Linked DNA regions of Diceros bicornis minor. The protein of the gene in region 2 purifies or fractionates together with the protein of the main gene of each other region. This does not show direct contact. Links are inferred from orthologs where the notes say so. Each region holds a gene or a part of one and is shown on either strand. Other genes may lie near its edges.

What was found.
Region 1: the proteins of OGT (region 2) and DIDO1 purify together in Homo sapiens (affinity purification with mass spectrometry; 3 studies listed by BioGRID and IntAct, with this or other methods). This does not show direct contact. The link is inferred for Diceros bicornis minor from reciprocal best matches to the Homo sapiens genes OGT and DIDO1.

What each region holds. Positions count from the first base shown.
Region 1 is NC_080758.1:1,210,570-1,218,116, reverse strand, and holds the start of DIDO1 (death-inducer obliterator 1), read right to left. Parts: upstream 3,034-7,547; 5' UTR 2,957-3,033; intron 2,690-2,956; exon of another isoform or gene 2,607-2,689; intron 2,338-2,606; exon of another isoform or gene 2,232-2,337; intron 1-2,231. Other genes in the region: GID8 (glucose-induced degradation protein 8 homolog), read left to right, coding at 5,461-5,578, 6,603-6,799, 7,103-7,300. UniProt on the Homo sapiens protein: Putative transcription factor, weakly pro-apoptotic when overexpressed. Tumor suppressor. Required for early embryonic stem cell development.
Region 2 is NC_080781.1:64,767,823-64,774,769, reverse strand, and holds the start of OGT (UDP-N-acetylglucosamine--peptide N-acetylglucosaminyltransferase 110 kDa subunit), read right to left. Parts: upstream 3,078-6,947; 5' UTR 2,978-3,077; exon of another isoform or gene 2,882-2,977; 5' UTR 2,873-2,881; coding exon 2,836-2,872; intron 47-2,835; coding exon 1-46. UniProt on the Homo sapiens protein: Catalyzes the transfer of a single N-acetylglucosamine from UDP-GlcNAc to a serine or threonine residue in cytoplasmic and nuclear proteins resulting in their modification with a beta-linked N-acetylglucosamine (O-GlcNAc).

The DNA of each region.
Region 1 (7,547 bases), on a different chromosome or scaffold from region 2:
GAAAGTGTTCCCTCCCTTTGTCCGTTTCCCCTGAGACTGCTTCTAGCTAAGGTCTTCATCATCACTCACTCGCTTATTCCTTCACATTCTCAACAAATGTTTACGGACTCCTACCATGTACTAGATGCTTCAGCTTGTGTGAAGCTCACGTTTGTGGTGAATCGTGACATCCCAGGAGGCATCAGTGATCTAGATCAGTGTGCCGAATGCTACAGAGGAATAACCCAGGACATCACGTGAGCACACGGGAGAGGCACTACATCCAGCTTTGTTTAGGGAGTCTTCCCACTCTGAGAAGTCAGCCTAGGCAAGGGTCTTATGTGAGAGCCCAGAGGTGAGAGAGCCTAGTGAGTGGAGAGAACCTCAAACAGCTTGAGATGGCTGGAGTGGAGAGGGAAAAGGCAGGAGTGGTGCTGCTTTTAGCTGCGCTCACTTTGCACAGGCAGCTGGGGAGTCCAGGAAGTGTGTGAGGAGTACAAGGAGAGATCACCCTGCCTGCTGCATGGGTTTCAGAAAGGAGCTGGCAGGGCTAGCCCCGTGGCTTGGCGGTTGGGTGCGCGCGCTCCGCTGCTGGCAGCCCGGGTTCGGATCCCGGGCGCGCACCGACGCACCGCTTCTCTGGCCACGTTGGGGCTGTGTCCCACGTGCAGCAACTAGAAGGATGTGCAACTATGATTCTAGTTGCAACTATGACATACAACTATCTACTGGGGCCTTGGGGGAAAATAAATAAATAAAATTAAAAAAAAAAAAAAAAAAGAAAGGAGCTGGCAGGACTGCCGGTAGGGCAATCCAAGGAGCAGAGCGGATAGCCTAAATGTTCCAGGGGAGAGGCTGGCAACAATAAAAAGCAGCCAGTTGGGGCCAGCCCAGTAGTGCAGTGGTTAAATTTGTGCACTCCACTCCAGCGGACCGGGATTCGCAGGTTCGGATCCTGGGTGGGACCTACACACCGTTCATCAAGCCATGCTGTGGCAGGCAACCCAGGTATAAAATGGGCACAGATGTTAGCTCAGGGCCACTCTTCCTGAGCAAAAAGAGGATTGGTAGCGGATATTAGCTCAAAGCTAATCTCCCTCACCAAAAAAAAAAAAAAAAAAAAAAAAAAAAGTCAGCCAGTCTCTAGACAGAATGGAGGAGGTAGAATCTGCAAGACTCGGTAACCGGCTGGCTGCTGGGGGGAGGGGCCGTTAACCTATGACCCGCAGAGAAGGCGCAGCTGAAGCCTCCCTGGACTGGAATATTCTATCTCCTTAGAGGACTGGCATGCAAGCTTTTTGCCTGTGTACCCTTGAAAAGAATTCTGAAACTCTGCACCCCCTCGCACACTATGAAGCTGACATCCAAATGTGTTTGCAGAGTTAAGTAGCTGCAAAGAACGTGATTACGGACAGCTGCTGCACCTGCGTTTTAAATACCAGATTTGTGTCAAAGCTTTGCACGTGCTAAATTAGCTCATTCCAATAACGGAAAATGTCCATAACCAGTAGTCACCGTCAAACCTGTTTGGCAAATTGGACTCACTCTCTGGGAGAAGTCCGCCAACACTTGCGCGTTAGTTCACTTTTGAGCAATCACACGAAACCATCTAACTCCTGAGTTCGAATTCAGGAAGACGTCGGATTTCATCGGATGAAATAAGAGGCTGCCCCTTCAATTTCCTTCCTGAAGCGCTCTAAAACTCTTTAACGTTACCCTCCCGCAGTGGGAAAACCTTGCTCTGACGGAGTCTGCGTTCTTCTTGAACAGACAAACAATAATAAGCAAACAAACGCGCAAACGTGTATTTCTGCGTCTCTGCGTCCCCCAGAACCCAGCTCCGGCACAGGGAGACTGTCCAGGCGCCGGGCAGCGGCCGCGGCACCTCGGGGCCCTCGTCGCACACGCCTGCAGCCCCTGCCCAACCTGAGCGAGGCTTTGGGACCACCGGGCCCCGGGCGGGGAGGACCACCGGGCCGCAGGGACCACCGGTCCCCGGGAGGGAGGCTCCCTGAGGGCGGGCCTGTTTGTCGACTCATCTGGCGGCGGGCGAGCGCGCGCTCACCGACACGGTCGGGCAACCCCCGGACCCGCCTCAACAGACAGAACGCAGCGCTCCCGCCGGCCGCGCTCGGGCGGCTCCTCCCAGGCCTGTGCGAAGGCAGGCGCCTGGTCGGGGGGACCCCCGCCTCGGGGCGGCACGAAGCACCGGCACCTGTCCCCCGCCCCTACCCCCTGCCCTCCGGGCTCACAAACGACGGAAGAGACGCTGGGACCTTCGCCTCCGACTCAGTCTAGACGTCGCCGTCCCGGCGCGAAGTTCCCCCACCACGACACTTCGACGGCAGCCATCTTGCCCAGAGGCGGCCGACGCCTTTTGACTCTCGCGCCAATCCGTAGAGCGAGGGTGCTGCGAGGGGTGTTCTGCGCAAGGGCGGAAGCTGGAGATCCGCGCTTCCGGGCGGCCGCAGCGCCCCGCCCCCTCGCGGGAACACTTGATTGGCTGCCGGCTCGCGATCTCGCGATCTCGCGAGAAGTGGCTGAGGGGGCGGCCGCCGGTGCGTCTGGTCTCCGGTTCCCCGCCCCCGCCTCCGCCGCGGCCCCCGCCTCCGCCTCCCCGTCCCCGGCGCCGCCGCCGCCGCCCTCCCCGCCCGCCTGGTCTCCCGAGCGGCCGTGGGGACCGCGAAGCGCGGGCGGTGGGATCTGCACGGTAAGATGGCCGCGGCGGGCCCAGGCGGCCGGGCCGAGCGTCTCGGCGGGAGCGCGGCGGACGGGGGAGGAGACCCGGGCGGGAGGAGACCGGGGCGGGGGCCGGGGAGGGGCCGGGGAGGAGACGCGGGAGGGGCCGGGCCCGGGTCCCCGCGCCGCCGGGGCTTTCCCCCGAGGCCGCTGGACCGCGCTCGGGCCTTACGGGGTCACAGGTCCCCGCAGGTGTCAGAATCGGGCGAGTTCCCGGGGGAGGCGGCGTTCTCCGGACCTGCAGTCAGACTGCCGTTTCTCCTCGGTCGCGGTGGGCCATGCCGGTGGAGCGGGCGCTTGGCTCGGTGTGGTCTCAGAGGGAGGGCGTTCAAGTGGAGGTTCGGCGCTCGGAAGGGCCGCCAGCCGGAATGGCGGTGGTTACTGGAGATGTCGCACATGTGTGTCTGCGAAGAGAACGAGGTTATCGCAGAATCCCTTCAGCAGGGACTGCGCTCGCCAGGACGTGCATGGCTGGTTGCGTGACTTCAGAATTGGGATGTTTGATTTGAATCAAACATTGAATATTTAACAGCCGAGTTTTTCCTGCGCAAAACAGAACGGGCCAGTTCTCCAAAGGGGTTGCTTTGCAAAGTCGCTCTCCACGCCAGGGAGTGGTACTGGGGTGATTGCTGGTTACAGTGGACGCTGAGAGAAGGTGCCTTCTTAGTTCTCGGTTACCTTGAATTGTTGTCTGGGAATCAGAATAGGGCCTGAATGAGTGGTGCAGTGGGCCGCAGCAGAGAAATGGGTATTTTGTGCAGGACAGCGTCTCTTGGTTTTGCCTGCCCTGCGAGTTTTCTTCTGCTGCGCCTCCCCCTGGGCTGATCTCTAAGGTCGCGGGTCCTCCAAGTACCTGAGGACTTTGTCTTGTGCCCCTTTGCTTCCCTGCCCACACTATCTCCCTTGGTGATCTTTGCCCAGCTCTTGGCTTTCCCTATCATTTTTTGGCAGATGTTGCCCTAATTAATGTTTCCAGCACTGAGCTCGGGACCTGTAATCCAGGTGCCTGCTTGACTTCTCCAGCTGCATGTGTAATAGCCCAGACTTGCCTTGCTCCTCAAACCTGTTCCTCTCCCGGTCCTTCGCCCTCATCTGTGGCTCCATCCTCCAAGACCTCAAGCTTGAAACCTCCCATCCATCGCCCTCAGGTCTTCCCATTTTTTTATCCCTCCACATTCAGTCCAGCAGCAAGGCCCATTGCTCCGTGTCCACAGAATCTCCATCTGCTGTGTCTCTAGCTCTTCTGCTGCTCCCCTCTCTTGTTTGGGTGGCTCTTTGCCCGTCTTCCTGCTCAGCTCTCACCACCCCACATTTGCCGTCTTTTACTTATTCAGCAGTTTAGCAGGTACTTAGCTATATGTAGTAGTATCCATGATGTATATGTCAGAGGAGGAAAATGAAGTGGGCAGCGATGGGCTCACCACCCATCTCAGGAACCCAGCAGGTGCTCCCAGGGTGGGCACCTGTCTCCCCCTCCTCCCACAGTAACACCTCCTTAGTTTTGTGTTTCATACCCTTACTTAAAGCAACAACAGAACAGTTTTGGCCCATATGTATTTATTGCCAAAGCATGTATTATGTAGTTTGTCTTGTTTTTGTTCTTTACAAAAGTGTCTGCCACACTTGGGCCCCTGCTGCAACATGCTTGATTGATCCAGCTCGTTTCTAAGGGTCATCATGTGGCTGTGTTGCTTTAACTGCTTTAGTGAATTCTGTTATGTGAATACATGATCACAATCCCTTCTCAGCAATGCTAAAATCCAAATAGCTCTGAAAAGCACAGGTTTTTGTTTTTGTTTTTAACCTATTTGATGGTAAACCCTGACCTGGTAAAGACTGTGTAATAGTCTCTATTCCACTCAGTTTGAGTACACGTACATTTCGTTGAAGAAATGATATTTGATTATAGGTGCTGCCCCAGACCCCAATGAGGATGTCATATACTGTATGGTAAAGTGTGCCATATAGTGTTTGTGCAGTCTGCAGAATTCTGAATTCTGAAACATATCTGCCCCAGGATTTTGGGCTTGGGATTTTGGTTCTGTGAACCACAGTTCCTTGTCCATGCTGCTGTTTAAATGAACATCTGGGTGGGTGTCTTCCACATTTTTGCCATTTTGAACAGTTTCTTTAGACAGTCTTGTCTGTGTTTGATGTATGATGAGTTTTTGAGGGTCTCAATCTAACAGGAGTAGATTTGCTAGGCTGCAAGGAGCATACGTGTTCGGCTTTACAAGGAATGCCAAAAGTTTTTGCAGCACCAGTCTGTTCTGACAGCAGTGTAAAGAGTTCAAGAGAACTCCCTATCTCTGTTAACACTGGTAATTTTTGTCAGTGTGGTGGGTATACAGTTGCAGGCTTCTTTTGAGCACATAAGACAAGTGTGTAATCCTTTAGTTTATACCTCTCACAGCTGCCCTTTGCACGTAGAGGAGAATCTGTCTACACTCCTCCCTCAGCCTGTAAGTCCTTACTCAGTCTGACCCCAGCCAACCTCTTGACCTCTTAGTTCTGAGACCCTTGGCTCTTTCTTGCATTCATCCTGCCTTCTAAACACCCCAGCCTTCTTTCTGGTCTCAGGTCTCAGGCCCTTTGCGCTTGCTGTTTTCCAGATTTAAATTATCTTCCCACTCCCTTTTACTTTTTAGTATGTCACTGTGTTTATTTCTGAAATGAGCACAATTGTCATAGAATTCTTCACTGATTCTTAAAATATTTTTTTTCCTGTAGAAATAAATCAGAATGAGTTACGCAGAAAAACCCGATGAAATCACAAAAGATGAGTGGATGGAGAAACTCAATAACTTACATGTGCAGCGAGCAGACATGAACCGTCTCATCATGAACTACCTGGTCACAGGTAATTCTCCCTCTTTGTACACACAATCAGAATTTTACCACTGAAGTTCCATGATAAAGATACATTGTGTTCAGGCATTGTACAAACGTGGTGCTAACTTAGTAAATGATCGTGAGGAAGGTACCCTCTTCTGGAGATGAGATTATTCCGGGTCTCTGAGACCTAAGGCAAAAACCTGTTTTTGGCCTCTGACATTCTTACCGTTAATTAAGATAATTAAGAATGTTGTGAAGTACATTTAAAACCCAAATAATTGATCTCTTCTGGCCAGTCTGGTAGATTATACTGGACTGTTTCTAGAAGGTGTGCCCAACTGAAAAGAGGAAGGGAGAAGGGCACAAGCCTAGGAAGGAAAGAAAAGTGCTCTCTGGCTGATACTCAGTTCTCCTTGACGTGGGAGAGGAAAGGGCAGTTCTGTACGTGGTGAGAGAATCCAGATGTTTCCAAAAGGTGGAAGTCTCCTTCCTACTAGTTCCCAGTACCCGATGCCCAGTTAGTCTCTGTTAAGACCTTTTTTGAAAGGTGATGAGGAAATATCAGCCTATAGCTGTGCGTGTGAGTGTGTGTGTAGAGAGAGGCACATAACGCTGCTTTGATGTTGAAGAGAATTGTCGACTCATTAAAGGTGGGAGTGGCAGGTCCCTATCGACTGTGAGGGCATAGCCAGTGTGTCTTGCCTCACCTAGACCAGATCTGCAGTTTCTCTGCGTCCTACCTGGAATTGCAGCCTTCTTCAAGGAGCCCACATCAACACATTGGGCTTCCTAGCATTCATTCTCCCCTGTAGCTGGTGGGTTAGAGTTTGTTTGGATGGAGTAGAGAGGAATGAGTACACTCTTCTCATTCTCTGTATCTCACGGGCATGACTAGTTTATCACAAAGCTGTTGATAACAAATCCCAAAGAACGAGCAGGGGTCAAGTTGGAGGGGACTTACTCTAGGCAAACGGGCTTTCTAGAGATAAAAGGCTTTGTGTTAATGTCTTGCTAGCTTTCCAAGCAGTGAAGATGGTTTTCATTTTCAGAGGGCTTTAAGGAGGCAGCAGAAAAGTTTCGAATGGAATCCGGGATCGAACCTAGTGTGGATCTAGAAACACTTGACGAGCGAATCAAAATCCGTGAGATGATCCTGAAAGGCCAGATTCAGGAGGCTATTGCGTTGATCAACAGCCTCCATCCAGAACTCCTGGACACGAACCGGTATCTGTACTTCCACCTGCAAGTGAGTTTCGGTTGAGAGGCATCTGGTTCGTAGACACTCGTTAAGATTATTTGCAACGATTCAGAAGTAATGAGGCTAATCTGCATTAATAGAATATTGTTTTAATTTATGTGGGGGAGGGGTTTGAGTTAGCTGTTGTCTTACGTATTTCAGAAGCCAGTTCTTGCTTTAAAAATGCAAATTTAGTGACTCAGAGATGCTAGGAAATTGTCCTTTAAGATGGACAGAAACAAATGCCCCTCGCCGGGTATCGCTTGCCTGGGTGTGTGGTGTGTGAGCCTGTCTGCCTTTACCCATGACTAGCAACAGCACCTGATCGAGCTGATCCGCCAGCGTGAGACAGAGGCGGCGCTGGAGTTCGCCCAGACCCAGTTGGCGGAGCAAGGCGAGGAGAGCAGAGAGTGCCTGACAGAAATGGAGCGCACGCTGGCCCTGCTGGCCTTCGATAACCCTGAAGAGTCACCCTTCGGAGACCTCCTGAATATGATGCAGAGACAGAAGGTAAAGATCCGTGAAAGGAAAGTCTTCCTTTTCACCCTTAATGGAATTTTCAACAAACAATGTGTGGTGAATTTGTGGTGTAGAATGAGAGACACATAATTTCTGGGCATGTATGGTGTGACAGCATCAATTCTTCTCTAATTTTTAATCTTTTATTGTGTTAAACTAGGAACAGCAGAATGTCTGACTTTATAATATTCAAGCCTTTTTGCCAATTTTTCTCATTTATCTTAACCTTCTTCCTGTT
Region 2 (6,947 bases):
GCCAACTCAGCTAACCCTTGGAAGGAAAGCATACGTTTCGTTGGTTCTGGAGAATCATCAAAACATTTGAGGGAAGGAGGGGGGAAAACAAAAAGTTAGAAATGCAAACAAAAAAATGTAAAAATATGGTATATTAAACTTAAAGATGAAAAGGCTTGAAACTATGTAAAGCACTAGAGTGTTCTGCACATTACTTATACCCCCAAGTTAACACCAGGTGCAGAATTGGCATTTTTAGAATTCACCCATTAACTTTCTTTTCCAGACTCGATAGAAATATTTACTTCCAAATGAGATTACATTTTATGACCAAAAATACTTTGTACCTTCAAATTATAAATCCAGAGGTAGTATCTAAAGATTCACTAAACATTATTCCTTATACCTTAAGTAACATAAAGAAACAAAATATAAAACGTGATTTACAAGGTCACAAATAATCTACTGGGAAATTTAATACTTTGTCCCATGTTTTAGGTTGGATTTGTGGGGGGTAGGGTACTGGCAACAATCTCTCTCTTAACCTGGGACACCATGAGTTTTTAACTCTTAAAATTATATTGATGTTTTTGTATATTTCACAACTTCAGTTTTTAAAATTAAATTAAGGGCGACACTAGAAACAAGCAAAAAGGAAAAAAGAACTAAAAGTCAAGGTGCTATTTTTAAAACAGCTGACAAACAAGATGAATTCATCTGTCAAGAGCCAAAATATTTAAAGGGGTCATCAAACATTTTAAATAAAAACCCAAGATTATACAGCTCCTCTACCATCCCAAACTCATGAGACCAAATTAACTAAATCCCACCCACGACGGTTTGACACCAGCATTTTCCAGAGAGCACTGACATTGTCTAAAGGATTAAGACATTGCAAACAACCCTACATAAACCAAGCAGTTACCTACAACTGCAATGACTTAAAAAAAATAACGGGAAAATGCTAAAACATAAAACCATTTGATAATGTGCAACAGAATGAATAATAAATGAAAACACTTTGCTGTAAGTAACTTAATTCAGATACTTAAAGGATATGGGTAAAGCTCAGAGAGGGGAAAAAGAACAACAACAAACTAAGTCTCAATTGTAAATACTTAAACAATGATACATTACTGGGAATTTGGCCATAGCACTTTCACTAGACGGTTGGAATGGGAAACCATGTACAAATTACTTAAATCCTACCAAGGTCACAGTGACAAACTGAAATCCGAGCCTAGCTCCCCAATTATGAGAGCTGGCGAGTGATCTGTATGCTCAGGAAAGCAAAGTAAATTTCCTGACAGAATGCACAGCTGACTAACACAAGAGCCAGAGAGACTTGCATCCAAATCCGGGAGGGGTTCTATCTCTAATAGAAACTACAAAATTACATTTTAGACAAGTCTCTAGAACTTCCTAGCTCCTTATTTTAACACATTTTATCAACTTTTCAAAGCCGCTTATCCGCTATTTTTAACACTTTAAATGACAGCTTCCTCAAATAAAATAATACACCTAGAAAAGGGCAAGCTAGTACAGAATCTTAAATCTTTAAAAGTCCCTGGGCGGGAGGCGACCACTGACTAATTATTAATCCCACTGTCTACAATCATGGATAAGATACGATTGAAGATTCACCTATTACTGCACAATGTCCAAAAACAATAAATAAAACCCTTGACACATCTCAACTGAGAAACAACGACAACAAAAAAATAACCTCGTGGGAAACCTTAGAACCGCAGCCCAATCCCACCCCCACCCCTCCCGCCCCAAATAGCCTCAATATGGAAAGGCAGCTGAGGGACGCTCCTGTAATTTGGTTGTTTTCTTATTTTTAGTACCAAATGCTGTCGACTGAATTGTCTAAAAGGGCAACCGCCTTGCACTTGTGCAGCTACACTCCAGTTGCTTTACAAACTCTTCAAGCAAGGATGGAAACCAAAAAATACACACCCTATGAATAAAGAGCTACTGAGCTAAGGAATGGGGATGGAAGCCCCAGAAGCGGTGGCGGAAGAACACAGGGAGAAAGTAACACAAAGCGAGACTTCGGCGGGCAGGGTGGTCAACGCCAAAGCACCAAGCCCCCAGGGTGGCTTCTCCCCAAGGATAGGAAGTGGACTGCAGGGCTGGCAACCTCGCGAAGGAAAGGGTGTGGTTCCCCCGGGAAGGGAGGGAGCACAGGGTGGGAAATCCAGGCTGGGGGCAGCGGGTGGAATTGGGCGATGGCGAAAGGAACCCCTGGAAATTTCCAATCTAAACCGGGGCCGCTCAACCGAAGGAACACCCGAAAGGCGCTGCCCAGCGGGGTGCTCTCAATATCCCCTCTTCTCGAGGTTACGTAGAGCCCACCGAGGAGCTTTTGCTCGTCCTTGGGTGATGCACAGTGAGGATACGCTTCCATCGGAATGGCACCCCCGCCCCAGACTGACAGCGAAGGACCGGATCTAGCTACGGAGAAAGGCCTAAAGGGGGATGTGGCAGGGGAAGAGGAGGGGGCGATGAGCTGAATTAGGGGGAAAACAGCTGCGAAGGCGAGTCAAAGGACAGGAATTCCACTGCAGTCCATTCCGAGACATCCTAGGCGCGCACGTGGGGTAGAAACGTCCCGAGAGAGTAGAAAGCTGGAAAATTTATGGAATTCAAAAGCAAGCAAGCAAGCAAGAGGAAATGTCTGAGGAGCGGACGACAGCGGAAAACCCGACCAGACGCCGGTAGAGAACGAAAAGCTCCGCAATGCCACTGCTGTAATGGGGATGGCTAGGGTGAAGGAAGGGAATGAGGAGAGGTAGAGGACGGCGCGAGACCCCAACGCGGCGTCAGCTAAGGTAGAACGGACACCGGTACCTGTGCTGTCGGCCACGTTGCCCACGGAAGACGCCATCTGGAGCTTCTTGAGGAAAAACAAGAGGGGGGTAATTGAGTCCTGTTGCCGCCACTACTGGCAAGAATGTTTCTAGAGGTAGGAGGAGGAGGGCAGCAGCCGTACCAGTGTTTTGGCAGGCTTAAGCGGCGGCAGCAGTTACAGGCTTCGAACCTTAGAACTCTAGTTGCCCATCTACCTCTCACGGTCTTGAAATGGCGGCGACGGCTCCTCGGCCGAAACAACACGGACCGGAACTACTTTCTGTTACAATCTAGTACCGGCGCGGAAGTAGCGCGGTAACCAGCTCTACCCACAAAATGAGTGTACTCGAATCCCCTAGCTCTTTTGTAACCTTCCGCGCGGGGCCCATTGCGACAAACACGATTCTGTCGAAAGCGCATGCGAGCAACCCTGTCAACCGCACTCGCGGTTGGGGCACTGTCTGGGCGAGGAGCGTCCAAGTTTTTTACTAGTGAAGCGGAAGGGTAAAAAGAAACCCGTACACGTGACGGATGCATTTTTGCCAAAGTGGTCTAGTCTATTAGCTAGCCAATGGTGAAGATTTTGATATAAATGCCAAAGACATCTGAAAAAGTTTAATCAACTTTATTCGTACCAAAATGGATAGTTACAAGTTTAATGGATCAATTCTGAGCAAGTAAATTTAAATGGTTATATTTCAAAGACTGAACTGTTGTTCAAAACGATAGGGGAGGGTCCCAATTTGAACACGTCTTAATTCTGACTCCAGCCATTGGTTTAAGCACTTTAACAAAGAAGATTGATGCTTTCACAGGGCCAAATGAACCCAAACATCTCACATCGTGGCCATATAGCCCGAAATTTCAAAATCATTTTGGTATTCAGGATAGGTCTGCTCACAGTATGAGGGCAAATGCTTCATAACTCAGAAACATGCTGAGAGTTTGCACTCCAAAGGCAGCCATAAAGATGTTAAAGATGATTCATATTCGTCAAGATCCATGACTCTTCTGAGTTGTGACTCCATTTCCACCACATAGCTTTGCAAATCATCACAATCAGTGATTTCGTTTAGCTCAAAGCAGTTCAACAATAATAAATGAATTCACTTAAACCTCATATCTAGATGGAGGCTGAATTGCCTCCACTTCCTTGAAGAAATGAGCTCTTATGATCTTCCTGCAGTTTCAAATCCACTATTCAGACATTTTGTCACATTGGTATTAATTTACATCTCATCTCTTATTCCAGAAAAGATTTAGGGTAGCTTGCCACATCAGCAAGAAATTATTATAAACCAATGGAGGCAACAAGTTGGATCTCTCAGAGCCTTTTTATTTCAAAAAGTCCTTGATCTAAGAAAACAGGTCAGTGAATTTCTTCAAAACATTTCCACTACCTAGTCATTTGACTACATTAAAAAAAAAAAAAAACCTAAGTCCTCAAGTTCTGCTTCAATTTCTTTGAGACAGTTCACAAACTTTCATTATGGATATGAGCACAGAGAAAATTCATACTATTGATAATTTCCTCCATCACATTCATAATGAAGAGTCACATGCAGTGAAAAAGACCAAGTTCACTCTACAAACTCTCCTGGAAATTGGGCACCAATCTATTCTCTTAATTTGATTTAACTGGTAAAAGTCCTCCCCCCCCCCCACAAATGCCCCCATCTGTGGTGAGTAAACTCAGCTTTTCAACTTTTAGAACAGACTTCTCAGATTCCACTGGCAGATGTTTAGGCCTTACTGATTAGTGGGTGCTAGCTAATTAAGTAAAACTCTTTTTGTTGTTAGATGCCAGGTCGTTTTCCCAGTCAGGCAGGCTATTTGGCCCATTGATACTTGTGGTCTAAGGTTCCTTATCCTGACAGAAGAGTCAGAGGATGTTACGATACATTTTGCTGGGTGGAAAGCTGGATAGTGGGGCTCACAGTGGTTCAATAAAGAAAAACCCCTGTTGGAGTCTCAAGAACCCCCTCCAGGTACCTTCCAGAAATAGCACCTGGAGGGTTTAGTTTGAGGGACTTACTCATCTGACAAACACATCTTCTTTGGCCAGTCAGGTAACATTTACTAGAGTGCAAAGCACTGTGGCGGACACAAAAGTCACCAAGACAAGATCTTTGCCCTTAAGGAACTTGAAGCCCAGTTAGGTAGACACAAAAAGCTACCAGAGCATAAAACAGAAGAGTAGTATTTAGGTGATGAAATATATTACTGTCTATAAATATCTGGGGAGGGAACAGTCACTTCAGGCTGGAGGAGGGTGACGAAGAAGGCCTGACTTGGACATCGAAGGAGGTGCTTTTGTGTGTTCTCTTGAACGCTGATTTCTGGTTATTTTTTTTCTCCCTTTTATGTGCAGCAATTCTAAATTCAGAATCATCTGAAATAAATCAGCCACACTTCAATCCCAATTCCAAACTTTGCCATCCTAATAACACCACTAACGGTGTCTTCGTTTTCTGTTACTTTGTAACAAGTTACCACAAATTGAGCGGCTGAAAACAACACACATTTCGCACCAGCGGCGCTAGCGCTGGGCGAGGGAGCGGGAGACACGCTCTGGCCGCCACCGCCACTCTGCGGCTGGAAAATGGCTCCAAAGGCTCAAGGAAGCTGGAAAAATACAGAGATGTAGCCCCACAGGCTCTCCAGATGTTTGGGGATAATATTCCAGAGAGAAATTGAGCCCCCTGGGTTAGGTAACCAGTCATAATGAAGAAAATTAGTCTTAAAACCTTCCAGAAATCTTTGAACCTGAATAAAAGTAAAGGAGAAACTGATTTCAGGGTAGTATGACAACCATCACTAGCCAGTGAGTTTGGAAAACGTGATTCCTTATTTGGTAGCTGCTATGGTAAAGATATGGCCAGCTGTGATATCAACAGTGAAGATGAAAAAGGTGGAAAACATAGATTAAGAGGGAAGCCTAATGGGTACACTAAAAAGGCGGCTTTCTGCAGAACAAAAGCTGAAAGGCAAGGGGAGCCCACCCTCCAGGAGCTCTGCCAGAGGATACGTTTTCCTCTCCTCAGCACCAATAATAGTCTTTAAAGATGTGAGAGCTCAAAGACCAATAAGATCCACTTCCCTTGGCAATCATCCCTATAGTCCTACCCCTTGACCTCTTGACTTACAAACGCTGAGGATACGTGTATCAAGATGGAGGAGGTGAGAGTCAAAGCCTAGGTTTATTCTTCCAATCCAAGTCCAGCACGGAATAATGTTCAAAAAGATTTTCAGTCTTCAGCCTGAAACTGCGTGCTAAGAACAAAATAACTCATTGAAGAGTTCAGAATCTCAAAATGGAGACTTGCATCTTCACCTCAATGAACACATGCCTGTAGTTATTGGACTTATGCCTCAAGACTGCGTTTGGTATTCTGTGCCTGTAGATGAGGGGATGCATCCTTTAGAAGGATCGCCTAGCTATTGTCTGGACAGTTCTTCTCCCATGGAAGTTTCTGCAGTACTTTCTCAAGTGGGAGGGAACTCTTTCTCCAAAAATGAAAATCAAGTAGGCCAGGACATAGTCGTTGCCCCAGAGATCTTTGTGGATCAGTCTGTGAATGGCTTGTTCATTGGCACCACAGGCGTCGCATTGCAAAGCCCAAGAGCGAGTCGTGATGATGTCCCTCCACGTTCACCATTGCTACCTCTAATGCAGAATTATCAAATGCAAACGAACTGCAGTGGACTCACCGGCACAGATGTCCATGTGTCTGAAAGTATGCGCTATTATTTGAATTTCGATCCTGACTCTGCTCCTGAGGTTGCAAGAGTTTATGATTCAATGGAAAGTAGTGGTCTTATGGTTGTAACAAGCCTTACAGAGGAGCTGAAAAAACTTGCGGAATAAGGATGGTACTGGGGACCAATTACATGCTCAGAGGGTGAAGGGAATCTAGTAAATGTTCCAGATGGTTCTTTTCTTGTTCAGGATAGTTCTAATGACAGTTATAGTTTAAGCTTGAGCTTTCCTTCCCATGGTAACACACTTCACACTAGAATTGAGCACTCAAATGGTAGGTTTTGCTTTTATGAACAGCCAGATGTGGGGGGACAATTTGGTGATCTAATTAAACATTCAACCAAAGACTCTG